Linked DNA regions of Drosophila melanogaster. The protein of the gene in region 1 interacts with the protein of each later gene in a pairwise test. Each region holds a gene or a part of one and is shown in the gene's direction. Other genes may lie near its edges. The genes, in order: zormin and rols.

The links.
Region 2: the proteins of zormin (region 1) and rols interact in a two-hybrid assay, tested with the Drosophila melanogaster proteins (one study listed by BioGRID).

What each region holds. Positions count from the first base shown.
Region 1 is NT_037436.4:2,142,223-2,158,594, reverse strand, and holds the start of zormin (zormin), read left to right. Parts: upstream 1-6,894; 5' UTR 6,895-6,985; intron 6,986-8,313; 5' UTR 8,314-8,505; coding exon 8,506-8,850; intron 8,851-16,372. Other genes in the region: CG15822 (uncharacterized protein), read left to right, coding at 1-348, 857-1,221, 1,453-1,961, 3,192-4,116, 4,188-4,790.
Region 2 is NT_037436.4:12,056,382-12,072,877, reverse strand, and holds the start of rols (rolling pebbles), read left to right. Parts: upstream 1-8,018; 5' UTR 8,019-8,316; intron 8,317-10,968; 5' UTR 10,969-10,969; coding exon 10,970-11,897; intron 11,898-16,403; exon of another isoform or gene 16,404-16,496. Other genes in the region: Sema5c (semaphorin 5c), read left to right, coding at 807-1,014, 1,118-1,291, 1,682-1,813, 1,877-2,079, 2,154-2,960, 3,069-3,979, 4,044-4,199, 4,266-4,468 and 1 more.

The sequences.
Region 1 (16,372 bases):
ACCAACTGGAACTGGAGTGCCGGGAAACCTACGGTTGCTATGCGGAGTTGCTCTACAAGATCGAAAAGTTTGCCGCTGAAAGGCAGGCATCTTCAAAGGACATGGACCGATGCCAGGATCTTCTTTCGCAGCGAGACTTCATGCAGTTTGTGTGTCGCTCCTTTGCAAAGCGATTGGAGCGACGAAGAAATGTACTGATGACCGCCCTGAGGTTCCATCGCCTCCTCGATCAATTTGAGGATTTACTGGCCACCGGTAACCATGTGGTGGAGGTGGACAGTCGATCGCTTGACTGGCCCGAGGCAGAGCAGTTACTCATGCAGCTCAATAAAAACCAGGAAATGTTGGGTGAGTTTAAAAATATTAACAAACAAGTGTAATTTTGTATATTGCTAAAGAAATATTTATGCAGCCTTGACAACTACACTCGAAATATAGCCAGCGAACCTTGAAATAAGCTAGAATTGCTCTGATAATTACCATGGATATGACAAAAAAGTATTCTGAACAAAAAAATCATACCAAATACTTTCAACAAGTGTCACGCTTTCAAATTTAAATGAATAGAAGGTTAATATGAACGCATTCAAAACATCTGCTGGAACTCGATCTTTTGAGATCGAACACAGCATGATTTGGCTGCAACTCAAATAGTATACATCGAACCAATACTCTTTCTAGCATGGAACCGTTCCTAATTAGCTTAAATAATCGTATCATTTGAAATAATATACATTTTAATAAAATCATAGTTGTATATTTAGGTCTGTCCGAACTCGAGCCGTAAACAACAAATCTCTAAACATGCTATATCCAACATCCAACCGATCTCTAAACATGTTTCCAACATCCACAGGCCACGTCGAGCGCGAACTTGTGCGTGAAGGTGAAAAGCTGAGCGACATGCTGGCCATGCCAGTGAAAGACGCTCTGGGCCGTGACCTCCAGCTGGACTACAGTGCCGAGATCGCCCAGCTGCGCCGGCAGATCGACGAGAGCCGGCGTCGTCGTCAGGTGTGCGGACATCGGCTAGCGCTGCAGCGGCTCACCTTGGAGCAGGTGACCCACATCCACGCCTACGAGGAGGACGCGCGGAGGGCGCGGGACTGGCTGCAGGAGTTGTATGCCGTCTTGCTGCGCTGCCACTCCCATGTCGGCTGCAACATCCACGAGATTCAGCTGCAGAAGGATGAGCTGCAGGGGTTCGAGGAAACCGGACGGGTGAGTTTTCCCCCGTTTTTCGGGCGACTTCATTTTTTTGGGGGGGAAATAAGATGGAGGGAATCCATCCAGACTGCAAGACAGAGACGGGGAGTGACTGTTTGGCCAAGGTTTCTATCTAGCTGTATCATATTTATTAAAAACTATCTACATATTGCTAGGATATTGATAAAATTATCCTCTGATTTTAAAATTTTTGCATATATGTACTAATTATGCTTTCTGCTTTAGAGCATCTACCACTATGGCTGCCAATTGCTGGAGGCTTCCCAAACGCTGCGCCTCTGCTGCAAACTGGAACCATCATCATTTAGGTCACAAAGCAATTCCAGTCAGGGTTTCATTAGTGACGAACTGCAGCACACGTGGCACAGCCTACAGTCTGTGGCCCAGGAGCAAATGACCAGACTGCGCGTCTCCGCCGTTTTCCACCGCAGTGTGGAGGCCTATTACCGCCAGTTGAGGGAACTTCGACCCCTTTTGACCAAGGAACTGTCCGCCCAACTACAGCAGCAGCAAAGACAGCAGCACAACCGCAGCAGCAGTGGAATAGGTAGCGATGCCGAGGCAGAATTGGAATCGGAGCTGTCTCCATTGGGGGAGATGCCTCCGCGACTACAGAGGCACTTGGTGGCCAGGGAGCAACTGCTCGTCGAAGTGGGCAGAATGGTCAGACTGGGAAGATTGCTGAAGAAGCGTCTCAAAGAGCCCTTCGTTCTGGACGCATTAACAGGAAAGAGGTGAGTTATAGCGACTAAAAATCTATAATACTTTTGCAGGTGCGTGAGTGCATGGACTTTAACTTTGTATCGGCGGCTACTTCATTATGCTCAACGCATAAAACTCAGAAACAAAAACTGCAAAACGTTCTGCATATCAAATAAAAATGAGAAAGATTTCCACTAAAATCCCCACGAGTTCGCGGCAAATTAACTTAGAAAAAGAGCAAAGAACTAACAAGTTGCTAGAAATAAAACTAAAAGAAATGATAAATTGTATTTGGAAAACAAAGTACAAAGGCAACTTGGCAATAAAAATATAAAAATCATGATAATCAGGTTTTAAAAAACAGACTTCATTTATGAACTCAATGCTGTAAATAAAACCTGAGTCAGAAAGTTTATTATTGAGATAAATATCCCATACAAGCCTGAATATATTAACATCCTGCCCTACGACAAATAAAACGATTTCTTCAAAAGCCATTAACACGTGTACAACACCTACCAAATGTATTAAATCAAATATAACTTGTTCGCTATCAAAAAAAATTATAGTCATATAAAAGCAATTCGAAGTCCATCAAACCGAACCACACTTCCCAAGTAACCACAAACTAGACAGCCAAAAATAATTTTTGACTGAATGAAACAAATGTCAAGCTGCCGCGACGCACTCAAAAGTTCCACCACCCAAAATTCGAAAGAAGCACAAAAAAAATATTGAAATAAAATAAAAGAACTATTCTATATAGCAGCTCATTCCGTCCAAGATTCGGCGTCCAAATCCAAGCAGTCTATTTCAGTGCGTGGTCCAGTGCGGTTGTCGTTCGGTCCTCCTTTCTGTTTTCCGTTTTTCGGCACGGAGCGGGAAAACTCAAGAAAACTGTCGGTTTGTCAAAGCATATATGTATGTATAGAGCACATATCAGATAAAGAGTGAATTTGCTGGAGAACAGGCGTGACAAGTGGGTCACAGCGGGGAGCATTGTGATAGGAAGGTGATAAATATAGAAGTGTCTTCATGGTTCCACTCTCGAAATATCTGCATGCTTATCCCGGCAAAGTGAATAATTGAATCTACAATTATCAGAGAGACGTAGCTCACTTCAACTGGCCACTAGCCAAACGCGTGTTGCTGCCCCTTACGTCAAACTAATTGTTCCACGCCCAAAAAAAAAAAAAAAAAAAACAAAAAAAAAGAGGCGCCAACTAGGCAGCGAACCCAAAAAAGCTCAAAATGTTTGCCAGATTTCGTAATTTGTTTGCCAAATCAAAGGGCGATGAGGAAGTGGAGCAGGAGGTTGGACCCAGGCCGGAAGTGCCCAGCATTGTGGTGGATGAACCGCCCAATGAGGTGGAGATTCCGGTTGAGGAAGGTGAAAATAAATCCCTGGATGAAGCTGCTTATCAGGCTAATGCCTCTGCTCCTTTGGCCAGCGAAGAGGAGGATTTGGTACAGAGCCCCCCTGAGATCCTAAGTGAATCCTCCAGCGATCTAAGTCGACTTTTGGACGCTATCAATGAGGCCAGTAAGCTACCCGAACTAAGCAGCGAAGATGGCCAAGGTGAAGATGAGGACTACGAGGATGAAGACGATGATGAGACAGCCAGTACTTCAAGTGTCAAGACCAAAATAGCCAAGGCCTCAATAGAAAGGGATATTATCTTGGAGGAAACCGAAGAGGAGGAGGATGAGGTGGATTCGGGTCCGCCGCTAAAGAGTCTGGACAAGATCAAGGCCCTCATCCGCAACGACAGTGAAACATATCCGCATAGCGACTATACCGACAATGAAACACCATCGCACTCACGCACTGCCTCAGTGGATTCCGGAGCTCCCGATAATCCCCGTCTCTCTGGTGATTTTAGTGTCGTGGCCGATGAACTACCCCTGGATTGCACTGCACCAAGTCCACTCCATGACAGTGGAAGGACCAGCAGTGCTGGAAGCGAGATACCCGTGGAAACCCTGCCAGCTACTGTGCAAGTGGTGCCCACAGGCAGCAACGAACTGGCCTGCGCCGCCATTTCCCACAAGCTGGGAGCCATTGCCGAGGTAGCCGAGTCCCTGGACGCAGTCATCCGGGATGTCCAGCAGCAGGAGGGCGTTGTTAGCAATGGAATCAGCAATGTCACTGGAGGACATGGCATAAAAAAATTGGGAAGCATTGAGGTAAGTTTAAATAATAAAAATGTTGATTCTTTTTCCGTTTGTGTAAAATGGTACTAATCTCGTCGCTTTAGGATTGGCAATCGCGCTCCACCGAGGACGAATCCTTCGCCACTGCCTCCGAAGGCAACTTTACGCCGAACTCGCATTCCTCATCCTTTCAAACAGCCTCAGGACGCACTAGCTCCTACATAGGATCGGCCAAGAACTCCTTCGATGAGGCGGACGACTCAACTTTAAGCACATTCGAAATACCCGAACTACCACCTTCGCCAGTCAATATGTCCTTTGATAGCTCCGAAATGAGCTACTTCTCCGACCGTCAGCAGAGGATGAAAAGTGAAGATCAGGACAGTGTGGCGGGCATGGCAGAGCTGCATAGTCAGAGTGTAACGCCCACTCCGGACGAGGAGCAGCAACACCTGCTTCTGCCACTACCATTGCCGCAGGCCATCGAATCGGACAGCGAGGTGGAAGGATTCAATTTGGCCACTGGCATTACGACGGAGCTGGCGCCCAGGATGTCCAACGCCCACACGCCGGAGGTGAGCTACACATCGGCCAATAACACCGCTCCGGCTTCAACTAACCCCAACGAATCGAAACCGCCGCCTTCTTGGCGACGCAGCAAATACTACGAGAACATAACGAAACAGACGATCAAGGGATTTCTCTGAGAGATCTGGACAAGCTGTCCCAGTTGAAAGATGAACACAAAACGATTTCCCGCCCAATTAACCAGCGCCATTTGCTTCTCTGCCGATCCTCGACATTCTTGCCATTAATTAGTTGGCATACTATTTTTGCTGTTTTCCCAAAACCAATTTTAGCCCATGAGCTAAAAGTTTTTGTCTTTTTTATTTTGTTTGCCATTTTACTTTGCATGATTGTTCACTGTTTTCTACCAAAATTTATTAGTTCGATTGAACTTTAGCTTAAAAGATATACTAAAATGCCTGCGCAAAAGGTTTTTAAATATTTTATGTTTGAAAAATGTCTTTTGCTTATACTTTCTCTGCTTTAAATATAGTAGTAGAAATATTTATTTAGTTAGTTCAAATTAAGTCTAAGGCTTGCAAAAATTAGAGAATTCCCAAATGGTTAGAAAATATATTTAAAGTAAGAATTTAAATTCACTTACGGCCAGTCGAAATTTTTGCCATTAATCATATGTTTAATATTTATTTATAACTATTTCTCCCACACAGTCACAGTCACAAAACATAGTGCAATTAATATCGAACATGTTTTACCCCAAAAATAAAGCTAATCATTTATAATTTTTTTCAATACCTCCTAACTTTTCAGGTATTTAGTTTTAAATTTTATGCTTAAGCAAGTAAGTAACTCGTAACTGCAAAATTTGAATGTAATCTCGAAAATCCATGAAAACATTGCATAACTTTGGGCTGCATCCGTGAAAAGTCATTGCCATCATCTGCACTTAACCCTTGAGTGCTCTTTTGGACTTTTCCACCCTAAATAATTTTTTTCAATTTCCCTCTGTGGGTGGCCCTTTCCCCCAAACATTTAACAAGTGGTCCTCAAGTGATTTCAATTATCTGAAATGTGAACTGGCAGTGGGTGCAGCGGGGAAATGGGGTTAAGAGGGGTTGGCTGCTTTTGTGAGCTTCGTCAAGTGGCTCATTAATCTCAATTAAAAAACATATAAATAAATCGCTCTGAGTGTGGTGAGTGAGTGAAAAGAGTTTATACTTAACGAGCTGATCATCCAGAAAGGCGAACCAAATATCTATGAGATTCTTTTCATGCCATTCGACCAGATTTTCTGACGTGCCGGCGCTGAAAGCATAATTCGATAAGTTCGAATCGTTGATAGCGAAAAATAATAACACACATCTGCAGCGCATTGATTGCCGCAACTGCTGTTGCACGCAAGAAGCGTCGGATGTTGCACGTTGAATATTGCACGAAATCCGGAGCCAAAGCCAAAGCTGCAAGACACGCATTTTGGGTGAAAAATACTTCATAAATTGGGGTATAGAGCATCATGGGTGGTGAGGGGATTTAAATGCGGGCGGTCAGTCAGTTTGCCTTGCATTAAGACACGATATCGTCTGGTTTCCTCCGCTGCTCTGGTGTTGTTATTTTGATCTTCCACTCTTCACCATGTTATTAAAGTACAAAAGCTGCACTTGAATATGTTGTGGTTTAAGGTACCTCGTCTTATATGGGGTGTATAAGACCAACGAGGAAAAGGTCTAGCCAAGGGGAAAAATCATCCACACATAAGATGTTAAGTTAGATGAATATTCAAAAGTAAATGCGAATAAATAAAGTGAGGGCATAAGAGGGTAGCAACAGTTCGCTTAAAGTTACCCTTTATCATCAGAATTACAGGGTACAAGCTCGCTTCATATCGCTTTACCTTCTCTTCGTATTGTAATTGCTGAAAAGCCGGGCGCAGGGCATTAAAAATTGAAATCATGAATTAACGACGCCGCGAATGCCAAGAGCACTTGTTTATTTATGTCGTCTCCCCTGAAGCCCCGCATCTTGCCTCTTTCTCTAGCGTCTAGCGTCTCCAGCCCTCTCTTTCACACTCTCTCATTTTCAAAATACAAGCCGGCTTTTCAAAACTGAGCTTAGCCAGTGTCAAGAGATCAAAACAAGAGAACCGCTACCTGCATGAATGAATTGAGCGAATCGGTTAAGTTTCATGGGCTGCACGCTCTTTATCTCTTTCTGATCGGCTGTCTCCCGTAGAATCTGCTCAGTCTTCGGTCTCCGGTCTTCAGTCTTCCGATCATTTAGTCAGTCTTGTTCGAAGTTCGCGGCGTTCGGTTGTTCGGCTGTTGGGAAAGCGGCGCGCGCGTTTTGATTTTCCACATCTCCACCGCTCGAATATAATGTGCGAATAAAAACATATCTATGTAAATTAAGTTAGGCAGAAAACGAGGAAGAAAACAATAAATTTGGCACTTCAAAAAAAAAGCGAAATGAAACGTAAATTAATCAGCCATAATTTACCTAGAACATTTTTGACATTCAAAAATGCTTGGCGCTAGTTTTTTTTGCGTTCACTCGTCTAAAGATGAAATCAACAATCTGTGCTAAATTTATTGTTGTTGTCGAATATTCAGTTTTGTGACGACCCTCAGAAAGCACAAACAAAATGTTTAACAAATAGAAAACGACACAGAATGCGCGAAAAAAATATTTTTCAAAAATATTCGGTGACCTGATGCATTGAAAGCTTATTTGTTTGAGTCATGTGCATATTTCAATATACTACAACAGTCCACGCCCCAGAAAATTTCAATCAACAATTTTCCATTTTTTTTTCTTTTAAATTTTTTGGACAACAACATATGGAGGCAAAGCATTTCCTCGATTGCGCTACTGTAAACTTTTATAAAGGGAACTTGTTCTTCCCAATTTTTGGTTTGCTGCTTATTTTTAGACAGCGCAAAGTACAATTAAAATAGTTTACATTACGCCAGCAACGGCGGCGACTATTAAAAATTGAGAGAAACACCAAAAATTACCTAATGGAGGCAGCTGGCTGCACACGAGCATACGCGGCGTATGCGTAATGTATTCAAAAATATCGAAAAATCCATGAAAAATGACTGACTGGCGACGACTTCTGCCAATGCAATTGGCACATGTTACAGATTTGACGAACATCCGCGCGCTTTATCTATTAGCTATAGTAGCCTGTATCTGTAGCATCGCAGTATCTGAGTATCTGGGCTAGAACAACAGTTTAGCTTCGTGGCAGAAATCGCCGCAAAAAATTACTCAATAGTTTGTTGTTTTAAAAATAAACGCGAATCGAGCATTGTCTTTGAGTTTTGGCGGGGCGGGGGGCTACCGAGGTTCTACAACGAGACTAGCACACGCATCAAAGGCAATTTTCTCAGGCTCAATATGCAAAAAGTACACACGATTCTCTCGGCTATATAGCCGTATATATAGACACTACGGAATAATAAACAGACACTAGAGCGACAGGGAGAGCGCGAGTATGAAGTCATAGTCATCGCGGCGGGCAAAAAGAATTCTCCGTTTCGAAAATCTACCGATTCGCGGAGGTTCTCAGACGATCGCCGGCGTTGATAGCGCTCGCAACGAAACGAAGGAACCGCCGAATCGAATCCCCTGGCTATAACTAATCCCAATAAATTAAATCCGAACGCGAGTGACTCAATCTAATAGTTCCACTTTTTCGAGCAGAGTTCAAAATGCAAAACACGAGACACAAGCAGGGGAAGTAAGCCAAAATACGAGAAAAACTAAACGACAGAGATTATAAAACGCCCACGCAAAACACACCAAACTACAAGCACTCACTCAATCCTCGAAAGTTAGTCAAAAAAAAAGAAAACAGAGAGAAGTAGAGACGAGCAGATAGAAAGAAAAGCAACCATGGAACGCCGCCAAGCCCTAGACTCATCGATGTCTTCGCTCTACTCGGTCGCCTCCTCCTCGAATCCCAATCCCCGCCAGCCGCACACCGGCCACCAACTTCAGACGCAGCAATCCCAGCAATCTCAGCAGTCCCAGCTAGACGCCTTCAATTATTCAGCAACAATGTCATCATCGTCGCCGACTCCAAGTCAGGCCATGTCCACAGCCATGTCCACGGGCACGGGCACCGGCACCGGCACCACCCACACCACACCACCATCCTCCTCCTCCCTGAGAGCCACCACCATTGGCACCGTTGTCGTCCGATGCGGACCCATCCAGCTGGTGATAGCGCTCCTACAAGTGAGTTGTACTCTTGTACCCCGCAAACAATAAAAATAGTAAACTAAAAAACGAAACGAATCCAAACAAAAAACACACAGCAAAAAGGCCAAGAAATGGGAAACAAACATGAAGAAACATTTATCTAGATACGGGAGAAGTGTTCGGAGAAAGCTCTTGAAGTGCGCGGAAATTTATGCGGAAGGCGATCTGGGAGGACTTCAAAAGAGATTTGGGACGGGGCATTGGGAGATCTTGAATAAATCATAAATCTAGAAGTGCAGTCAGGTTTCGAAAACACGGGGAAACATCTAGGATAAGCTGTGGTCATTGAAACATCTTATGAAAAAAGTTGCATTCGACTCAGTTTTATGTGAAGCTATAAAAATCCATAACAACCAATTAAGCCAGTCTAAATATATTAACCTTTTTTTTCAATATAAATGAGCTTATCATTTGAATGACGACATAATCTTTGTTCATTATTAATGACAGTGCAATTATATATTTACATTTTTTTCATTTTGCGTAGTGGGGCAAAAACAGTCTGAGAGATGTAAAGCAAAGAAAATAGTTCAATAGATACATTATCTCAGATTGTTATCAAATCATTTTTCAATCAATTTATCACTATAAAACAACGTTCGACTATTATTAAATGGCCCAGCCTCCAACCAAGCAAATGTTCACTACCAATCGGTCGACATTAATTGATAAATTTCTATAATTATCCCATAGCTAGCCCCTTCGGATCTGAGGCAAAACTATGTGACTTTAGCACTGAAAAATTCATGAACTTCTAATGCCCAAAACTGGCTTACAATTTTCGATTGTTTAAACCGGCTTCCAGCGATTTCCGCGCCAATTAGCACTCGAACAACGAAAGCAAAAGTTGTTGATAGCGGTTATAAATATTTGAAAAACGGCAGCAGAAAAACAAACGCCACAAAAGGTTCAAGGTTGTCTGACATCAGAGCAAAGACACAAAAGCCAACTAAACGTGACAAAAAGAAATGTATCTGCCAGATACTTTCGACAATTAGGCGCAGCTGCTACCTGTCTGGGTCCATTTCGAGCTGGCAGAATCAGTTTCTTCAGAGAGAAACTTTGTTTGGGTCTTCTCCGCAGATTTGCCCCCTTTTCCAACCCCTCCAAATCGCTCGAACTTGAAGATGCGACTTGAACTTGAGATTGAGAAACATTTCTGATGAAGCGCTACAAGTTTTATGCCCCGAAACAAAAAACATTCAATAATTATGGGCATCGGTGAATGGTTTATGGGCTTTTGCGGCAAGGGGCAAGGGGACTGTGCCCCTTTTTGCACCACCTTTTCTGTTCATTCAACCAACGGATCATTGAAATTTCGGTGTGCCACTTTGTGCCATTTTTTTTTTTTTTTTGCTGGCCATCAGAATAACTATTTTTGCTTCATATGCCATTCGAGACTCACGGCTCCATGTGTTAAACATTTGATTTGATTTACAACTTTTTCCCCCCTCCACTTTTGATTCTGAAAATTATGCAAAAACATTTTACTGACGAGCCTTTCAACACGTTTCTGTTGTATACGTGTACTCGTGTTTCCATGAATTGAAAACTCGCGACCCCAAAAATATACAGATTTCTTTAAATTTCCGCTGGCCTGCTTGGAAACAGTATTGAAATTCAAAAACGAAACTAAATAATTGCTTACCTGTCGTTGTTTTCGTTATTCTCGAACTGGTCCCAAAAATGCTGTTGAAAATAAACAAGAGCGATTTCTCTCCCCGGTTCTCGCAGGTAAACAAATTAGCAACGGAACAGAGCCAAAAAAAAAGCTGAAATAAGAATAACAAAAGTGTACAAATAAATACACAATATTCCACAATAAAAGCCAACAGATGTGCAACAAACACACACAAAATGAAACAAATGTATGAGCTAAAAAATGTTCGATGAGCTCAGCTCCTTATTATTATTGTTATAAATTCCACGTGGGCGGTGGGAGATTTTTTTCTAGGGGAAGAAAGGCGGCGGAAGTTCTTTAAACTTTGTGCTTCAGCATAAGATTAAGGAAACAATAAGTTGGCAGAACCCCCTTCGTCCCGCGGCTCGTAGCTTAAAACTATGCAAATATGTCAAAAGTTTCCTTCCTTTCTGGGTTTATTTTTCGAAACAGACAACAGACAATTCTTTCAGTTAGTTTATTCTAAACAGAAAGAAATTTCAAGTGGCAAGAAATTGTATTTAAGTATTAAATCTTGGCAAGGATAGTTTTGCTACTATTTTTAAACAATACTATCTGTAATGCGGATATTCATTTTTACCAATTTAAAATTATGAGACCTTAGAACTTTACTTTTCTTTCTGTGTACCCATACTCCACAACTCACAACAAAGTTGAGTTATTAAGATTTTGAATGTTAAGTGCTGGAAGAAAATATGAATATCTACCAAGTTTTTAGTGGCACAATGCGATTCTGTGGTGACTACTTAAATGACATTTATTTGCCTGTGAAAAACAGTTGAAGATATTCCGTTGAAAGAAATGTCTAAGACATGTGGTAAGTTCCACGAAGATACAACGAAGTACGTTGTCTGTCGGCAGAGCGTTTAATTGGATCTTTATCTCCATGGGCAACCCAAATCATCTTGTATTAAAATCGCCCTGACATGATTTACATATCCACCAAGGAAACCTATCAACTTCTTGGACGAGCCCCACCCAGAGCTAATTAACCAAGACGATTCAACTTCTCGGCCATCCGGGCATCAATCTCAATGGATGATGATTCGGTTTTGGCTCTGACGCAAATTTCGATTACAATGTTTGTTGATGCAACACGAAAATATTTACAAGTGTTTGAAATGAGGGAAAAATTTTTTGGGCCTGGTTACAAAACGTTTCTTTTTATGTTCTTCTGGCTCGCGAATGAAAAATTAGCTTCAAGGCAATTAAAAGGCTGAAGCAAACTGGAAAAAGAAACTTCAAAGGCACAAGATTTACATGTTTGCCTAGCTAAACTCTCTCTAAATAAATAGATTTTCCGCTTTTCGTTGAAAATGCGAGGCGTGCCACGAATGCTGAAGATCTCTTTTAATTGAATCTAATGCGCGAAACTAATTTGAGCCTTTGCTTTGGCCATAATGAAGCAATTGGGGCGCGACTGTCGACCTGCTTTGGATTTTCGATTCCAGATCTTGGGTCTGCGCAATCTCGAATCGCATCGAATCGGACTTTTGGTGCGATTTGCTCTGATTTGCACAAGAGGAGGCGCCACGGGAGGAGTAAGACGTAAAACTCTAATTGAATTTATGGCGTTTTCATTTGTAAAAGTCGCAGCATTTCACTCATAAATTGGCCAGATATATGAGCATATACTTATGCCCGGCACTGTACGAGCCATGTATGTATTGTATATGTATGTGCCATTGCCTTGGGCCTTCGGCGTGGGTGAAACGCCGCAGCTGCGCAGTGCGCACTGTCTAATGGACGAAAGAGATGGCATCACGTGCAGCGAAAGAGACGGGCGATAGAAAGCCGCACCAAGGCTCAAAAGAAAGAAATGTTTACGACGCTTGGCAGGCACATAAATTTACGCATGAAAAGCTGCGCATTCCGCCCGCTCTGCACAGAGTCGTCAGGGTATCCCATTTTGCCAGAAACTGCGACTTGGTCGCGTTTAGAGCTGCCATTCAGTCACGTGATTGCGATTTGTCACTGTGATTTATGATCGCTGTTTCGAGGCGAACGGCAAGGGCGCTCTTGTCACTTTCTGGTTTGAAATTTTGTCAGTTTTTGCTAAATCAATTCTCTTTTTGAAGTAACTATTCGGAGTCTGAACAAAAGCTTTTTTCTTGCACATTTTATTTTAGCTTATAGCAATTGCGCACTAGCTTTAATAAGATGTTTTAATCTAATCTGGTTACAACCATAAAAAAAAAGATTTAAGTCCACGCCTAATGCAGGCCTACGAAAATATATGCATACTGTGCTTTCGATGGCACTTCTTCATTTGCCCGATGGCGTGTCACGGGAATTGGCCGTAAATCTTATCAGTAATTGAAAAATTCCAGCCCTAACTGACAGTATCCAACACCAAAAGCGTCGTCAACGCTTTAAAACGCTAAAAATAATGTATTCTATGCGCAGACGCAGTCCGCTGTCTCTTTGCCTCTTGGGTTTGGCTAGGTGTTTTGCGATTCGGATGGGTCTGCTCATCGGATGGGGGCAGGAGGATCGGGATCCACTCGAAAGCCGGCTGGGGATATGCCGTCAATCGGTGGCTTTAGTGCAGCTGCTACGTAGCGCAACTGACAAAACAGTTTGGCACGCACTGATTGATAAGCAAGGAAAGCGGCTCGTGGAAAATTATGCAAAAGGGGGGGGTTTTCCACGAGGAGAAGCATACATTTGCAACGCCAAAGTATACAGTGAGCTCTCAGCATATGCGTATCTCATATAGTACGATGCGATTTAAAACCATACTTTGTATTTAACCAATTATTATCCCATTATCGCTGTTGATCGCTCTGCTAAATGCAAAATTCTTGCATCGACTCAATAGAGGCATACACGTTCAATTTCATGGGATAGTTTCAAAGCAGAAGATACCCCGCAATTTTCGCTTTCCGGCGGTCCACTGTAGGGGATCCAGCTGCTGTAATTACCGGAGTGGAAGCGACGGCTCGGTGGTTTTCAAGTTAGAGACGCGAAATATATTGCATGTTTACATGGCAACTGATAGTCGCCGATAAACGTTCAATGAAAGTCGCGCGTTGCAGGCGACTCCTGCTGCTGCAACTGGAAAGGCGCAACAGCCATCGAGATGTTGCCGCTGCAGATGCTGCGGATGGTAGATGCGAGTGAGTCGTGGCCAATAATTTGTAGAAACAATTATAGAAATTATCTTTTTTGTTGGCCGCGAATTAAATTGAAATTTAAATTGCATTCGATGGCAGCAACGAGATTGCCCAATACGTGTGCTCATAATTCGCCGTCGGCCTGGGAAAGTGCGACCCACAAAAACCTGAACAGAAATTGTTTTATGTTCGCTGGTATTTATAGAACCCAAAAAGTCTGACATCACTCGGCCACACACAGCTGATGATCGCGGCACAAAAGCTGAACCTCTGCTAAGTGAACAATAACAAAATAGCTGAATACTGTTTTTTGTTTTATGACAAAATCAAGTTGGGTTTAATGGAGGCACAGGGTAAACGCGTCAGAGCGTGCTATCCACAAAACACCGAAGTAGATTCAGTAAATTCATTTGCATATGGGTATTTGTACAATACATTAATGCTGTTTGCTCTCCATCAAACCGCTCACACACACACACACACACACACGAATATTGATGCGGTTTTTTATTAGTCTGTTTATACACACTTTTTATGGCCACTGTGGCCTATGTTTGATCAGGAGCAGAACAAACACTCGCGAGCATTTGATTTATGTCGCTTTAATTAGCCAATTTCAATTTGTATTCAATTAGCTCACCTTTATGGGAGCACTCGCCAGCACAGCCACAAAATGAAATTGTTGCAAAAAGCCAAACAAACATGCGATGCGTAAATGTACCTAAATTGCATATTAATGGCCAGACGAGAGAGACATTGGATTTTGGGTCAAGGCTGGCTGCTGAACTTTTGCGATGATGAAATGTTCGCTTTCAAATCTATATTTAAGTCAGAACTCATCGAATTTTGGTCAATGTATTCAAATAACTAAACAGCTGAAGAAACTGAACAAGCTTAAATAAAGATGAAAACTTCATAAGCAATTTATTAGAAATCACCAGGATTTGTAAGTAATTCCTCTTGAAAAGGATGCTACACATCTTACATGTGGCAATCTGGTCAAATAAATCAGGTACAACAAGCCAACGCCTTCGCAAATTGCGATTCCCAATTAAATATTTGGGATATCGTAGCCAATGGCCGTAATGAAAGAGCCGAGAAGGCCGGCGCTCTATAAAAATGCGCAATGATTTCATACAAAACGATGGCAGCAACAACAACGGCCACAGCATCGAGGTAATTTCATATCGAAATCGTGTTCTATCCGCTCCGCAAAGTATTAATTTAAAAGCCAAAAACGTGTTTCACGCTAAGCGCCTCGAAGAGGACGCTTGTTGCCCCTCCCGCCATCCTTCTGCCCTAAATCATTCTATCCGGCTTTGGTAGAATCAGTGGTAGATACCCTAACCAGCTTTCAAATGCAGGGGTAATCATTCAATGAATGATTTATCCCATTAGTGAATTCAAATGACAACCAAATGGCAGATCATACACATGATGTTCCATATGACAGAACTAACACAATTTGGATGGATTTGGGATAAATTTCAAGATTGGAAAGGGTATTTCGATGGTCGTCTTTCCACCGCGTGCATTCCATTCCAGGGTGTTATTGTTTTGAACCGCCGTTGGGTCTTTCGGCATTATATCATCGCCGTCATTGTCTGGTCTGTGGATGGGGGCATAGCACTCCCACTCCCACTCCCACTCCCACTCCCACTCCGACTTGGCCACGATCTTGGAGCACTTCCGCCATGTGGAGCTGCACAAGTGCCGGGCGAAGACGCGTCTAAATGTCCAAATGCATATTACGAATCTTAACGGCTGGGTGCGTGTTCGTGTGCCACTTGAAATACGATTCAATTTCGCAATGAGTGACGTATGCATATTTGTGGGGAAGGGAAGTTGTGAGGCGCCCCGACCATATGCATAATGGTTTATTTTATGCTTTATACGTACATAAGCTTAGTTATGGTCGGCCTGTTTATAGTGATGTCATGCCATTTATGGTTCATATTTCAGTTAGACGGCGTGATTATTCCCCCACTTCCACCACGCCGCCCGTTACACTTCGAAATATATTCAGATTTTCGAGAATTATTGGTGTGCGCATAGCATATTGAAAACTCACTCACGTCGCATTGAGTCAGCGACTTCGACTGGTTTTTCTAATCGGTTTACATCGCTGCCAGTGGGGCAGACAATTTAATTTAATAGCCGGGTTATTAATTTGTAATCCAAATTGATTAATGGCAGCCGCAGATCTAAATCGAAACCCTTGAGCGACTAAATTGGAAGTCTACAGCGCAACATCTGTGGCAAGAACCACTTTCAAATATATTTAATATAGGGGATGTCTAAAACGAAGAATTCAAACTTACATTGAAGCATTTTAAAATTTAAAAAAAAGTATCTTTAGTTATCGGGATAGGGAAGTTCCGTTTACAGAGTTACTACTGTACCGTGCCCAAAACTATTTCGTCGAACAAATTAACGCCCACGCAGCTTTCCCTAAACATAAAACCCAAACCTTTTAACAGTTTGCTAGCCATCAGGCGAGTTCTTCATGGTTCGCCATGGCATGTGGCACTTTTCCCCAGCTCCAGCTCCAGCCGCATCACCATCGACACATGCTCATCCCAACAGGAAAAACTAACGGATGCCATTACCATAAACAGCCGATGCTGACCTTCATTGCAATCAAACAGAGCTGAGGTTGTGGTGCCACTTCTGCTACTTCTGCTACTTGTGCGAGTTCGGA
Region 2 (16,496 bases), 9.9 Mb from region 1:
CTTCTCGAGCATTCGAAATGGTTGCACTTGATCTATTGATCTTCGTGTTCGTTTCGCCAAAAGCGCGTAGCACAGTGGTTGTGTTAGAATAATTGGTAAAATTAGCGGGCTACAGTAGTAACTTACAAAATTACTTAAATGAAAAAAATTAGTAATATATAGAAAATACTGCAAATTACACAAATACATATTGCGAATAAAATACGTTTGTTAGAAAAACAATGATATAAAATATTATTCTTATACTTGCTAAATTTATTACCATTTTATGAATTCAGCTCATATGTAATGTTTAGTGCTCAGCCTTCGCCCACAATAGTTTTGCATGAGTTTTAGAATGCTAAAATCCACTGCATGTGGGTACCACTGTGGCGGAGCCAAGTTTTGTTACCTGTTTGCCTTGCAGTTCAATGCACTGGCGGCCAACCAGTTCAAAATTATGACAGCTGTTGGTCAGGGGGGAGTGCGGAGGGGTGGCAATTGAAGCTGGAGCCGGAGTCAGCCTTATTTGTAAACAATTGTGGGCCGCCTCTCTAACTGTTATTGCTGGCCAATCGGTCGCCTTTCAACGGTCATACACTGCAATCAAATCGGAAAAAAATCTGAGTCCTTTTTGGATTTTAAGTGCAATAGTATTTGCTAGAAAGTGTAGTTCAATTTGTGCTATAAGAATCATATCATAATATTACTTGATGTTAAAGAGAAGAGAATTGATCTAATAAGTATGCTCCACTTACTTCAACATAGTAATATGCACATTGAACTGATTTGACTGAATAATTGAATACATTCGATTTTCCTTGCAGGGACACCCTGTACCGCATGTCTTTCGACCTGGAGCCGCTGGAGCGGGCCAGCTGGGGGGCCACGCCATCGGAGATCGCCATGTGCCAGGCAAAAGGCCAGTCGGAGCGATGGTGTCGCAACTATGTGCGCGTGCTCCACAGCTACGGTGAGAACCAGCTGTACGCGTGTGGGACGAACGCCTTCCAGCCGAGCTGTTCGTGGCGCCAGGTGAGTGGTCGTCCAAGTCGCCCATGTCGACCAATTCGTGTCCAATTCTTTGGAGTCGCCAGTCTGACGCGCCATTTACCCCAACCCTTGGTGCTTCTTGCAGATGGAGAACCTCACAGTCACCGGCGTGGACAGCGGCGTGGTCAAGTGTCCATTTCATCCGCAGGCGAACAGCACCAGTCTGCTGCAGTCCAATGGGCAACTCTTTGTGGGCACCGCCACTGATTTCTCGGGCAGCGATGTGGCCATCCTGCGAACAGGAGTGGAGTCCAATAAGGTGGGTATCTGAAACGATCACACACTGCGGATGAGTAATATTTGTAAAAAATATATAAAAAATTATCACTTAAGCAGAGTTTTACAATTTTCCTTATTTATATAACCAAATTCGTAGTTATTTTCTATAAATTCAACGTAAAAGTTTATTTTAAAGAATCTGATTTTTTGTAAGCCCACACGGCGTATGAGTTATGTGCATTTTTAAAGCACCGAAACAAATGTAACTGGACAAAATCATTGTTAACTTGACTGTTTTTTTTTAACAAATAGACATGCTGATTCTTAATTCATTTTAACAATAAAATGCATTTGAGTAAGATCCATATGCTGGCGTAGTTAGGCCACACCCCTGCCCACACTTCTAATGGTTCTATTATCCAATTTTCAGCGTTTCCTCCGCACCAAGCAATATAATAACAACTGGCTGAGTGGAGCCCAATTCGTGGGAAGCTTCGAGGCTGGCCACTTTGTATATTTTCTGCTACGCGAATCGGCCGCCGAGCACATGAGTTGTGGCAAGGTGAGTGATTACATTAAATTCATACAAATTCTATTTCAAGCTAAGAGATTAATGCACTTTCAGGTGATATACTCCAGAGTTGCTAGGGTGTGCAAGAATGATGTGGGCGGTGGTGGTCAGTTGCTAAGGGACAATTGGACATCGTTTCTGAAGGCTCGTCTCAATTGCTCACTGCCTGGCGAATATCCTTATTATTTCGATGAGATCCAAGGCATGACGTATGCCGAATCCGAATCCATTCTCTATGCCACCTTCAGAACGTCGGGGTAAGTATTCTGCAACTTCTATATCTTTTAACTTGACTAAAACTCATCATTTTCCTTATTTCGTAAACCTATAGATCCAGCATATTTGGATCAGCTGTTTGTGCCTACAACCTGAGCTCCATTAACGCAGCCTTCGATGGACCCTTTAAGCAGCAGGAGCACTCGGATGCGGCCTGGAAAACGGTCAACACGAATCAGCGGAGTCAGTTCCAGTGCGGAACGAGTAGTATTGGCCACTGGCTGGAGAGCTCACGTTACCAACTGATGGATGAGGCAGTGCAGCCAATTGGAGCAGAGCCATTGTACCACTCCAAACTGGAACAATTCGGCCGCCTGGCGTTGGACATCATAAACACAAAGACGGAGCAAGTGCACGTGCTCTTCGTGGCCAGCAGTGGGAATCACATAAAGAAATTGTCCGTAAAGTACGATGGCGATGGAGTTCAGACATGTCTGGTGGAACTTTGGCAGGCGGACGATACTGGTACTAGTAGCCTACTGAATATGGCCTATCTGAAAGTCAGTGATTCCCTCTATCTGGGCACCGATCTGGCGCTCACCCGGATTCCCGCCCAGCACTGCAGTCGCCATGTGTCGCAGTCAAGTTGTCTGAACTCCATGGATCCCTACTGCGGCTGGAACGAACTGGTGGAGCGCTGCATGCCACAGCCACAGGATTCCTCTGTACTGCAACACTGGCATCAGGCGCCACAGATCACCTGTCCTGTACTAAATGCCCCCATCGATGGCGGTTGGTCTACCTGGAGTCCATGGGCCGTTTGCCAGCAGCACGAGCAGCCGGATAGCAATTGCCAGTGCCGACAGCGCAGTTGCAACAATCCTCAGCCACAACATGGAGGTGCCACCTGCGAGGGCATCAGGTGTGTACAATTTGTATAATTTGTTAAACCAATATAGCAGTATACAAATTAATTTAATTATAAAGAGGCAGTAAGGAACCTATTGTAATTATATTTCCTTTATTTCAGCACCCAAGTGACGAACTGCACGCAGCACGGAGGATGGACGGAGTGGTCAGCATGGTCGCCCTGCTCCCAGACCTGCGGCATTGCCGTGAAGATCCGACGACGCACCTGTGGAAATCCGCGTCCGGCATTCGGCGGTCGCACCTGTGTGGGATCGGAGCAGTCGGAGATGTACTGCCGCCACTTGCCACCGTGCCCGGTGGCCAAGCCGCAGTCCGTGGATGGCGGATGGGGACCGTGGGGCGAGTGGAGTGAGTGCAGTGCCCAGTGCGGCGGTGGTTTCCGAATGCGACGACGTGAGTGCAACGATCCGGCTCCACTCAATGGCGGAATGGAGTGCCCGGGCTGTCGGCTGGACTATGAGGAGTGCAACATGCAGAGCTGTCAGGAGGTGCGCAAACTCAGTGCCTGGACACCGTGGCTAACGGTGACCGGGAGCGGAAATTCAAGTGAACCGCACATGGAGAGGCGATTCAGGTTCGTCTGTCGTGCCACCAGTCCAGATCCGAGTTCCGTCCGAATTGGCCTGCCCAAGGAGGAGTCGCGCAATTGTCATGCTGATGGCAGCTGCCAGCGGCAGGTTGATCACGACTCCGCGGACTCCGATGCTGCGGACTGGTCACCATGCAGCGTCAGTTGCGGTGGTGGTGTCCAGCAACGTCACCGCGGTCGTGGAAGCCAGAGTCGGGTATGCAATATACACGCCTGCCCGGCGGAAGAACAGCTAAGTAGTAATAGCCTGGATAACGAGTTGGAACACGGCGAATGGGGCTGCTGGTCCGAGTGGTCTGCCTGCTCGGTGACCTGCGGATTGGGACTACGGCGGAGGACACGTCGTTGCCTAGCGGGTCACGACCGGCTATGTCAGGGTCGTGCACTCGAAGAACAGAAGTGTGAAATGGTGCCATGCGAAGGTGGGTCATCATTATACATAACATTTTCCATAGAAAACCAACTATGTAATTGATTTCTCCTTAGATTTCCTAGGTTGGAGCGCTTGGAGCGAGTGGTCGAGCTGCTCCAGCGATGGCATCCGACTGAGACATCGCCGCTGCCTGGTGGAGCAGCCCGGTTCGATGGAGTGCCGTGGTGCGGAGTTCGAGAAGACCGCCTGTGTGCCCAATGAGTGCGAGGGTAAGTCAAGCTTTGATTCATTTGAATGGAAAAACATTTTCTTATCCATATGTAATACACTTGCAGAAACCCAAACTGCTTCGACTGCCACGCTACCCATCGTGATCTTCGTTGGCCTGCTTTTCACAGTGGCCTGTTGCCTGGCCACCTACAGATTCACCAAGAAACGATTCATGTTAAGTGCTGAGGAGGCATTAAACAAAACCACGACGACAACAGCCAGTTTCGACACCTATCCCAATCAGTACTCCAGTCTGCCCACCAAGGATGTAAGTTAAAATACTTTTATAATTTATTAAATATAAAATATTATATTTGTTTGCAGTACTACGATCAGCGACCCAAACGGCAGTCCAGCTTCCGGATGCCGGCCAAGACCAGTAATTTGGGCAACGGCAATGGCACCCTCAATCGGAACAACATGCACCAAAATAATACGCCCAAAGTTCTGGCCAAAACGTATATCGACTGCGAATCCGGAACGATCAAACGACAATCGGCACTGAACAATTGCCGCAGTAATATCGACGACGAGAAGTTCTAAGGAAACCCGCGATCTTCGATATCCAAAAGTGCCATCTAATGACTATGGAAATGTTACAACGAGAGAGACAAGTTTTATTTTTGCGCCAAAGCGATGCAGATGCAAAATGTTCCTTGATTGACTCACATTGAGTCGTTTATTGAAGCTAATTTAGCTGGTTATCGAATTAAGTAGTTATAGCATGTAATATGTAGCACACTAAATTTCCCCACAGCTATGTTCAAAAAGTATTTTAGTTGGTTCCCTAAATTTCAGAGTGCAGATAACGTATCTCTATTTTTGCTTTTAGTATTGTAGATACTGCCATCAAAAATTGTTGTATAAATCGCGTAAGCTTATGATATGGCCCAACCAGCGAGACTGACCGTTTATGATTGTCTAAACAAATTTGTTAAATTTCACAAAATTAAAGCAAGCAGCATTGCTTTAACTAAATTAAATATACTTATTTTCAGAACATATCTTTAACTTATCATATTTTATAGAATTCGAACTGACATAGTCGATCATGTTAAGAATAGTCCTTAAGATATGTAATTGAATAAATACAGTTTTACTAACCGACACAGTTGCTTGGATTCCCATTGAAATTAACGATGAATGCTAAATTTTAGTTATCCAGCTGGTAAGAATACGATTCATACGGACTAACGGACGGACAGGCATACGGACGGACAGAAGGACATACGGACAAACTGACATGGTTAGATAGACTCGGCTAGTGTCCTGATAACGCTTCGCGTTACATGGTTTTCAAGAAAGCTAGCATACCCTTTTACTTAAAGCACAAATTGTGTTATAAATTTGTTGTATGCATTAATTTTTATTGGAGTGGCCAGAACCCAGGACACTTTCCAGGATACAAGTTCTGTGTGCGCTCTAAATCATGCCCCTACATAATGCGGCTCATTTTGCTTAACAGCTCTACGTTCGCTTATTGATCAAATAGACAATCTTAAGCTAAACTTAAATATCCAAGCTGACTCACTTTTTAAAAATTACCATTGATTGGAAAATAGCGAACGTCCGCAGGAAGATCTAAAGAAATGGATGGAAATGGTTATACCGTTCATGGCGTAGAGTTTATCGAGCATACAAAGTAGAGTCAAGTTTATAACAGAATACTGTGTATGGGCATAAAAATGTTAATAAATATACAATTAGCTCTATTAAGAATACACAATACAAATAAGATTAAACCACCCTCGTTTTTAGTCCACGTCAGCCAAAACACAACCCTTTATTAGCCAGGTCAGCAACCAATGGTCGTAGTTCCATAAACGAACAGAATACACACTTTAATGGCGCCACATACGATATCGCAAGTCTGCTTATGTTCCACATCATATCAATAATATCCAAATTTAAAATTTACTTAAACGATATTGAAGTTTAGCACTGCGCTTTTATATCTACATTAGAAAGGCATATTCTCTATGCATTCCGATCAAAAAGCGATCAATTGCCGCAAATCCTCATGAACTCTAAAATTTATGTGAGGTTCCCACAATAATTTATCAGTACGTGGAGTGCTCGAGTAATCTTCCAAGATTAAGAGGATTTCTTGAGCAGGCCGACCATTTGTCACAAATCATTCAAACACCAAGGGGACGAGAACGAATGGGAGTCGCACGGTGGAAAGTGGAAGTGATATTAAAGTGGGCAAAGATAAATACGGGGAAAGCGAGAAATTGAAACAGTTGCTAGGAAAAATCACCGAAATTCCAGCGCCTGAGCGCAGCAGTTCCAGCGAAGCGTTCATCTATCGTGTAATACAATCCGTGCGTAACTATAACTACTTAGTACACGGATGCATCTTGTATCTTCGATCCGCGAGGTCGACGAACTCCGTTCCGTACTGCGCATGCGTCGCCGCCTTCGCGGGAAGTGTGTCCTCCTGTCGCTGTCATCCAATTTCAAAACATGAAAAATTAGTCCATTTCCGTCGCATAGATCCGTGGATGCCAGCCCCATGTGCTCACCTCGGCTCATCCTTGGCCTCCGGGTTGAACGAACTGCAATTGTATCCCGTCCTGCGCGGCAGACTTGTTGCCGTTGCGTTGGAAAATCTCACCCTATGGGCATTGAACTCCGGCTCAGGATTGCTTATTGGGGTTGTGGTTTAGGTGGTTCTGGATTCCCAGGTACAGTCACCGGGATCTAGGCTAATTGGAAAAGAATGCAGCAACGCAGAAAATAATATGTAATCTGTGGCCAATGACAGCATTTGCTAATCACTCCAACAGGTGTTGCATCATTGCAATTTACGAGTTGTTTATAATAAAACGAAACAGTGAATTTAAAATACATTTAAAAATTGATGTATAAATGGAAATCGAAAATACCTGAAATTGGAATTAAACCTACATATGCATATGTATCTCAAAACTTATTATTGATCATTGTACATATATAACATATTAATGTTACTTATGTAACTCGTTAGAGCTTTGTAAAGTTGCAGTTCCCATCTTTCACTAACGATTTGGATATATAAACTTAGTCATAATTCTGCCATGTTAAGACTTTTGGGGTATACTTCGACCATTCCACTCCCCTAAACACACAGAGTAAAGTCCGACAGCCAAGATCGCAGTGCAATTAAATGGCAACCAAGCAAGCGACACTTTGGTTTCGCTGCCAAACTCCACTCCGCTCGAGTCCACCCCCACTCACCCCCTTTTCTTGGGAAAAGATGGGGCACATCCCATTAGAAACCGAGAACACTTCGCGGGGTGCAGCGAGAACAGACGCAACGTCTGCTTTCGAAGCCAGATATGTTCAGAATGAAATGTAAATGTTGCTAAAATAATATGATAAATGAAGTTAATTAAATCTATAATAAAAGAAAATTAAATACTTATAAACTGTATAATTATAGTTTGCAAAATATTTAAAAATATTATGTAATAATTCTATGCACGATTGGAGAACTATTTGATTTTCCAACTTTTGGCTGAAAAATGTCCAAATGGGCAACGCAGCTCTGGAAACGGAATCTAACAAAAGTGATGGACCGGCGCTGACTTCACGTTCTGCACCCGCGACTATTTTTAGCGCCGTCTTTGCTTCTTCGTCTAGTTAGCATTGGGGCAGATACACGTACATCCGAATGCACGGATGTATCTGAGCATCTACGCATAGTATATATCCTCCTGTTGCCGAGGGCGCTGTTGCGGCTGCGCTGCCTCACTTCTGATATTCCATTGCATCCATCGGATGCAGTTGCCGTCAGCTCGGCAATCCGCTCGTCTCAATTGCATTCCAGCGCGCGTTCGGTACGGATACGGATTCGGTTACGGCGGACACAAGATACGGATACAGCAGCGCCAATCGGATTAATTGCCACATTGGATTATCAGTGATAAAGTGAATGTGAAAGAATATTGACAAAAGTGGCACTACCATTGAAAAACCTAAATCGTGATTGCATAAAGTTCCTAAAATATATATTGTTAAACATCCACTGTGCGGATAGATCTTAAAAACGGAAGGGAAAACTGAAATTCCAGGATTGTTCCAACTAGAACTTATCATCTTGTACAAGCAGAGGAATTATAAAAGATATTAAAGGTTTGTATTAAAAATGTATACGCATATATTGTAGCATACTTTTTTGATTATTAAAATCATTAAAGTTCAAATGAATGCACTTCAATCATTTGGCGGATATGAAACTACAACAGCTTGACTTTAAAAATCCATAAAGATCCATTCAATTTACTATTACCTAGTACATTTCTCAAAGAATTTCATATAACTTTCTGAATAAGTTTTTTATAAAAGCTCAATATAATCGCGCAATGAGTAATGCCCAAGTAATTCGATGTCGCCTAGTATCTGGTGGAATGCGCAATATCTCGCCGATCTGGCGGATCGGGTCCTAAAAAGGGAGCATCGTTCAGTGACCATATCCCAGGGCATTTAAGTGGAAATGTCTTGAGCGGCGAGCCGAAACAAAGGCAGCTGAATTTAAATTGGGAACCAACTGAAAAATGTCGCATGTTCGATGGGGCGCCCATTGGCTCGAAAATGTGTAAAAATGAAAAAAAAAAAAAATAATAAGATGTAAACAACACAAAAAGAGTGAAAGAAAGAAGCACAAGTTCAAGACTCTCACAGATACTCCACACGCACACAACCTCAGCCGTGGCATAGCTAAAAGTAGAAACGCGCGCAGACGAAGCAATAAACTGCACGGAAAGTAGTTTAATGCAGTTTGCTGGGGATCCTAGAGCCCCCTGCATCCCCACGCCCTCCCTTCGCGCCACGCCCCTTGGCGCACGACAAACAACTACAAATACAACAAATGCAACCACGGCGCGCCGCCAACCCCAGTTTTCCGCCGCCGATCGTTTGGCCGATCTATTTTCGTACCGCTTAGGGATGTGTAGTTTTTCGTCGCCTAGAGTAATTTGTTTGTTGCATTAGTTTTGTGGAAAATCTACACTGCAAAAAAATGTAATAGCTAATCTATATACATAAGTAAATGTAAGTAAGATTTATAAAGACGACAGAAGAATGAAGGCATAATGATTTGATCAGATATATTTATTAATATAAGTTACTTCCCTATAGTAAATATGATATAATCATATATGCCATTAGATAGATATAGCTATATTAACCTTATATGGCTCCAAAACCATTTTAATAGATATTCATAATATTTTTGTGCCGCTTTTCAAAGATATTTCTTAAATACAAAACTGCAAAAACTAAAAAATAGCAGTGCATAATCGCCAAACCTAAGCAAACTGCAAACCAAGTTCAGCCCCGACTAAAGCGAATTTGCCCGCAAACCAACCGATGGCAATGTTTATTTAAAACTTTGCACTGCCAAAGTCAACTTGCAACTTGTGGTGGCAGTGGCACAAGCCAAACGTTAGTTTTTCCCCAGCGAATCTAAAATAATGGAATGGGGGACCCAACGGCAGCAACAATAACTATTGCAACACCTAGTCGAGGGGAAAGTTAGGGGGAGCAGAGGAAGGGGGGATGGATATGTCAAGAGGCCGATGACATTGCTAAAGAACTACAGTCAAACTTCGCTAAGCCCAACTTTCATTTCTAAGAAAATCTCGCATAGTTAAAACCTATTATAGGTATTGTAATTGTTCGAATATTCCTGGAAAGTGCATACTATACCCTCTGATATTTGATTTCATGTTACTTAAGATCCACTGTACTTCGAGTTCCTTGCACCGAGGAAGAAGCAGCTGAGGAAAACACCAGAATCGCTGCAGGGGGCACCCTCACACTTGAACAAGATAGAAAGATACGCACGCGCACCAAATGTGAGCGAGATGCGCATGTGGCCATAAAAACGAGGGGAAGTTCGTTGTCTATCGCCTGGGGGACACTTCCGTCTCCATTCCTGTGTGCTCCGCAGTGCCCTGCATGTCTGCAGTTGCCATGTACCGCAGTACCCCATGTGCCCCATTTCCCCGGGCTGCCTCCTTCCATGTGGGAACTGCTGGAGCCGAAGATTGATGTTGGGACAATTTCACGTCCCACTGTTCGCTGGGCATTAAGTGGCATTAAAGTTGTCCCGGCTTATCGCTATCTCACAAGCACAAGCTCGCACCTCAAGATGCACCTACACTGAGAGAAATCCATGCCACGAGCTAAAGTGAACTCTAAACTAGAAGCCCGCCCATTACAGACTTACAATTACAATTTTAGGATCTAAGCCCGAAATCAAACTATAGCTATTTTGCATTTTTATTACATTTAAATTCATATGGAAAGATACAGATAGTCAGCACAGAAATCAGATTGTAACAAATCAGATTTGGTTTAAAAAGATAGTTTTGTAGATTGGGACAAAGTATTTCTCCGTGTTTTTATCTGCCTAGCTAGCTCAACTGATCTGAACTCATTTCCGCTGGAAATCCCCATATTCGAGTGCGTTTTCATGGAGGACCGTTAAAATCAAGACAGCCCCAAAATTACATATGTCAAATTATGTTTAATGTGCGGCATTAGTCAGGTACAGTGGTGTTTAGAGAAGCTACTGGTGCTCGTAAATGGGGAGAAATGCAAAGAAAGCATTACCTTTTATAGCTCAAATCCATACAAAGATACTTTTAAATGTACAGTGCCATACTTCTTGTTGACTTTAAGATTGTATTTTAACCGTAAGCTAAAAAAAATAAAAAAAGCATTAACCCCATTTTTGAAATACTTTTAAATATGAAAATAATATATTTAAATATTTTACAGTATGCCCTCGCTGCAGCAAATTGCGCTCGCGATGGAAGGTGACCAATCGGAGCTACAGACACCGCCGCTGCCGATCAACCCGCCGCCCAAGGTGATGGCCAATGGAATCGTCTATGGCTTTCGCACCCGACACTTGTCCTGCATCGAGGAGAACGACTCGGACTCGTTGCACGGATCGTCCATTCCACATGCCTACGATATGATGCAGCAGGCGGACGAGACCTTCCAGAAGTTGAATGCCAACGAGGAGCAGGACGAGTCGGGTAGCGAGGATGGGGGATTGGAGAATCTGGACGATACGATCGCAATGATCGATGAATCGCGCCTTTTGGAGGCCGATTATCTGGATGAGCTCGTGGCCGAGGAGCAGTTGCAGGAGCAGGACGAGGATGAGGAGGAATCCTCTGATCTTGTCGACTCTGGCAATGTGGAGGAGGATTTCTGGCAGCCGAGCTTCAATCGGAATGACATCATGATGACCTCGGTTTATGGAGCTCTGAATGGCTCGTTGACGAGCGAAGTGTCTTCAACTGCAGCGCCGGGCTACTCCGAGTGTGCCACGCCCAGAAAGGAGGCGGAACCCGTTTATGCCACGCCGGAAAAGCGACGAGCCAGCAATCGGAGTTTCGACTCCACCTGCGCCTCGCTCACCAGTTCCTTATACGGCGGATCTATGAACTCCTCGCTGGATCTCAAGTACTCATCCTTGGGTGGTGGCGACTCGGTCAGTGGTGGCATTAGTGGAACCAGCACTTTGCGAGGAACTTCAGTGCCGCCAATGGATCTGTCCATGATATCCAGCGATGGCGTTAGTGCGCTGGACTGGGGATCTGCCAGTGTGAGCTGTGTTTTGGACTCCGGCGATGGGAATCCCGCCGAGGAGCTCAACGAGGAAATGGCCGCCAAGTGCTTGAGTGCAGCGGAAAGTGGTAAGTACCGGGTATATACGATAAATTGCCTATATATAAGCGATAAATATAAGCAGCGAATAACTTTAATAACACGTTTTAAAGAAGATCGAATACAATCGTTAAATCAAGAACCGCAGCCTTAACTTTAGGCGAAGTCCATAAATTCATTTATATGCGGATTCATTTACCTGTAAATTGTGAGCAAGGATCGGTTTTGCTATTGATCACTGTGTCGATTTCTCTGTGATGATTTCTTTTAACCGAAATGGCCATCCATCCATCAAGGCAGCAGGGCATTAAACTCATTTACAATCCTTCATTACCGGACATGCAAACAGGCGCACCGTTTTAATGACCCATTCGCAGCGGACCCATTTCGCTCTGCTCGCCATTAGAAAGGCAGCCCGCGAGGCGGCAACACTGACCCCCAGCACTTCCACTTCCACATCCACCTTCCCCAAAAGTATCTAGGGGCCACCAAGACCCCGATGTCTCCTGAGTCTCCTGCGTCCCCCTTCATCACCAATCTTCAAGTGCAACATCATCAGCAATATCCTCGGCCGAAAAACTAACAAACATCCATTGGCCGTGGGGAAGTTAACATGCACTCAGAAAAATGCAGCTACAGGTTTATAGCATAAGGCTCTTAATTGTTGGCAAGCTATAAAGTTTAGCTCAGAAACAACTTTCACAGAATCTGGCAGATACATTCTGAATAGCTGAAAATAAACTATATCCATATATTTTCATTTAAGTATATTTATTAATAGGTTTTTAATGTTTTTGGAGCATTACGAGTTTCAGTGCACACAATTCGATTGGCAATAGAGTAAACAAAGCCAGTGAAAGCCAAACAAGTGGCCGGACTTTGCCCATTTCACACAGATGTTTAACAAGCCGGGCCGGGTCATAAATCATCCAAATGGATATATTCACCGCGTTTATCCATCTTCCATTTGGTTAGCATATGACCGAGTCGCCGATCGAACAGATCCTCGGGGTGAAAACTCGCTGACATTGACAGTTTCTAATAGGAAAATTGGCCAAGATTTATGCACACGCCGCTGACTTCCATTTTAATTTAAAACCAATCAATAAACTGGCACACACATACAAAAAAAAACAAAAAGAGCTGCGCGTCCAACAAAAGTGCTCAACAAATTGCCAAATGATGCTGCAAAGTGCAATGTCACAGTAATTTACGTGCCACTCCAATGGCACAAAGCTGATGAGAATTTATGCTAAGGGTTAAAAGTGTCAGCCTCAAATTATGCATAGTGGGTGGTTTCGCCAACTGCGGCCATTAAAATGCTTTTAACCATTTTGGGCATCATCATCTCACTTAAAATGCCTTAAGAGTAAAAAATATATTCAATGCCGTTCTTATATTTAGGAGATACATTCAAAAATTGTTTAATATTTTTAATGCAGTTAGCACTACACAAATTTGAATAATTTGAATAATTTCAAAAATATTTTAGCTCTCAATTAATATTTCTAATAATCGAGAAATATATAGAACTCAATTTATTCAGACAGTCAGTCTGGTCTAGCTTGTCTACTCTCAGCTAGAAGAGCTTAAAAGTTAAAAGGTGCAACTAGAAGCAGTGCTGATCATCACCTACCTCAGACTTTTCATATTTTGAATAAAACGAATCAAAATGGCTTTTTAGTTAGTTATAGGTTTCTAATAACTCTCACAGATTTTCCATTCCAAACCCATTGTGCTGCAGCATTGCGTCTTTGGCTGAGTGCTGCGTGTGTGTGTGTTTGTGCGGAAAAGTGAAAAGTCATGAATCATATACATCATGATCACACCAAAGCGAAACACAGCACACGACCATGGCGAACTAGGATGGTTGATGATGATGATGATGATGATGGAGCTGCAGCAGCCGAGGCATTGGATATGCGACTGGATGGGTCCATAAAGTAACATGGCTTATCGCTGGAAAACTTTTAAAAAACACTTGAGATTGCGCCGAGAACGAGCGCGGTGGGCGAACCAAAGCTGAAGAGCGCTTGGAAGACGCGTCTACGAACAGGTATATGCACCTCTTCTGCAGAAGAACCCAAAACACAAAGATTCGCTGAGGCGAAGAAAGGGGCTGCGAGGATTGCGGATGGATGAGGATGGGGAATGGAGCAGTTGTTGGGGGCTTGTATCTACAAATAGAAGCGGAATGACGGCCGCAAGACAAAGTCAAACAAAAGACCCGAACGGTAGTTGCCATGAATGGACAACAAACTCCAAACCGGCTGGGAAGTACAGTGCATATCCATTACTTTAATTTCATAAGATACAAAAAATAAAAACAACATATCAGCTTATAAAGTAATACTAATGTAGAAAAAACACAAATCAGTGATTTGTGAAATTTAAAAACTGACTCTCGAAGAAAAAGTATCTCACGTAAGAAGAACGGTTATTGTTAGGCAAGCTCAACTGTATCTGCATCTGACGGATAATCGGCACGGACTTCGACTGAAGCTCGATGCCAAGCGCAGTTGCAAATGCAACTTTGTTGCCCGTGGGCACAGCATGGACTCCTCGGACAGACCAACTATTTATTGGAATGAATCCCGGCACTCCGACCCAGTCGCAGATTCAGATACGAGCCTCATAAAATTCCCGCGCACGCACCGGCGAATTCGAATGCATTTTTTGTGTTCGATAAAACGCGAGTCGGCAAATTCCCACAATCGACGCTGCACTTGAATCTGAATTCGAAATAGCTCTCTCAGTATTTATGAGATGAACTCTGCAGTCAGATAGTTTCTTGACCTGCGATAATGAAAGGGAAAAGGGGAGATCTATGGATGACAGCATAGTTCATATAATTGATTTAAATTTTTGTTGAATTCAATGTAAAACAGTGATATAAGAAGCCAAATATTATATTTATAAAAAAATCTATTTTTTTTCGGAGTACAATCTAATCTGGTACCATATTTATGGCTTTCTTATCAAGTGAAACGCTTGCAATTACATGTCATTTCTGGGTTTTTGCCCAGCACAGATTTTCTTGACCAAGTTATAGAAAAACTTTAGCCAGATGTCCCAACCTATACTGCCAGCTCGTCCCGCTCCCCTTATCGACGACCATTAATCAAGATTGTGTCAAAGGTATTAGCTCATTTGAGGGGGGGCTCAACATGAAATCGACTCCAGGGTCTGTGGGGATTTGGAACATTCGGGCGATTACAAACTATTACCGATGTCAACTGCCAGCGGTAGCATTCTATTATGTGAGCCCCGTGCTCGTCGATTTCCCCTGCTAATGAGTAGATTAATTCTAATGCAATTGAAACAGTGTCCGGCTTTCGCTTATCGAAATGTTTGTGGCTTGGGCAACAGCAGCGTGATTGCTAATGGGCTCGAAAGCTACCAGAATTGCTGATTACCAAGCTGATATTGCTGATGATGTTGGGAGCATTGCAACAATACCTTTAAATGGGTAATGGGCTCGCCAAGATACGAGCCAATCGGTTGAATAAATCTGTCGCACATAAATTGGGGTAGTAGATTGTTTTTGAATCGAAAACAGCACTTTTAGACCTTTGACAACCACTTAATTGTTAACTTACGATGCCTGAAAGTGGGGTACTTAATAGGTGCCCAAAATAAGTGTGAATGATGACTCAATTAGAAAGCAATATCCTCGAATCTCGGACACCAATTCGAGGGACAATATCCTTGTGTATACCCTCTCAAGAAGTGTCGTCTGGCTTATCGGGCAGATAACCCCTGCTGAATAGTGTTTCATGGGTTAATGCGACACCAAAGGCACGAACGCTTGCGTCATTAGGTAGCTCAGCCTGAAGAAGGGATACACCATACCCTTGCTCCGGCTTTTATGTTTGCTATTTCGGACTGACAACGCGATAAGGGACAGTTCATCCAGTCCAGCACCTCAATCAGTCAAAACCTAAGAAGAGCAAATACAATATGCACAAGTGGTACAAGTGTTAATAAGTGTAAAGACCAAATGATATCTGGTACTTTGGCGATGCAAGGGAAACAATAATTTATGCTGTACAATGTAAAGTTCAATGTAAAGTACCAAAGTCATTTGAAATTTTAAGGCTTCGAAAATACATACTGATAATAATAATCAGTGTCTGCATACCAAAATTGGTAATGGTAGCACTTAAGATCTTCAAGATAAATGGGTTCACATAGAAGTAACACTTTATAGAATCCAAATCTACACCCCTTAGGCAGATTTCCATTACAATCGATATACCCTAATCTCCACACTTAAGGGGTACGAAAAACAAATACAAATCCAACGACAGCGAAGCGTGAATGAATTTCCTCGGCGCAAATTGAAAAAAGAGTGATAGTGATAGTGGAACTGATAAGCGGCGAGCGAAAGAGATAGAGATAGAGAGACGGCGCTGCTGGAAACGGAAAACCGGTATGTGTGTAGAGTTTGAGTAGCTGGCTCAAATTTGTGTTTTGGAGAGTTGCGCTCTCAAACTTGGAGACCTGCGGCTCTCCGGCACTTTTCTGGCTTTTGCGCTCAGTTTCGAAACGAACTTCAAAGCTCGCGCAAGCGTACCGCACGCGAATCGGAAAACGCATTCTACGATCGGCAAATCATCGCGATACAC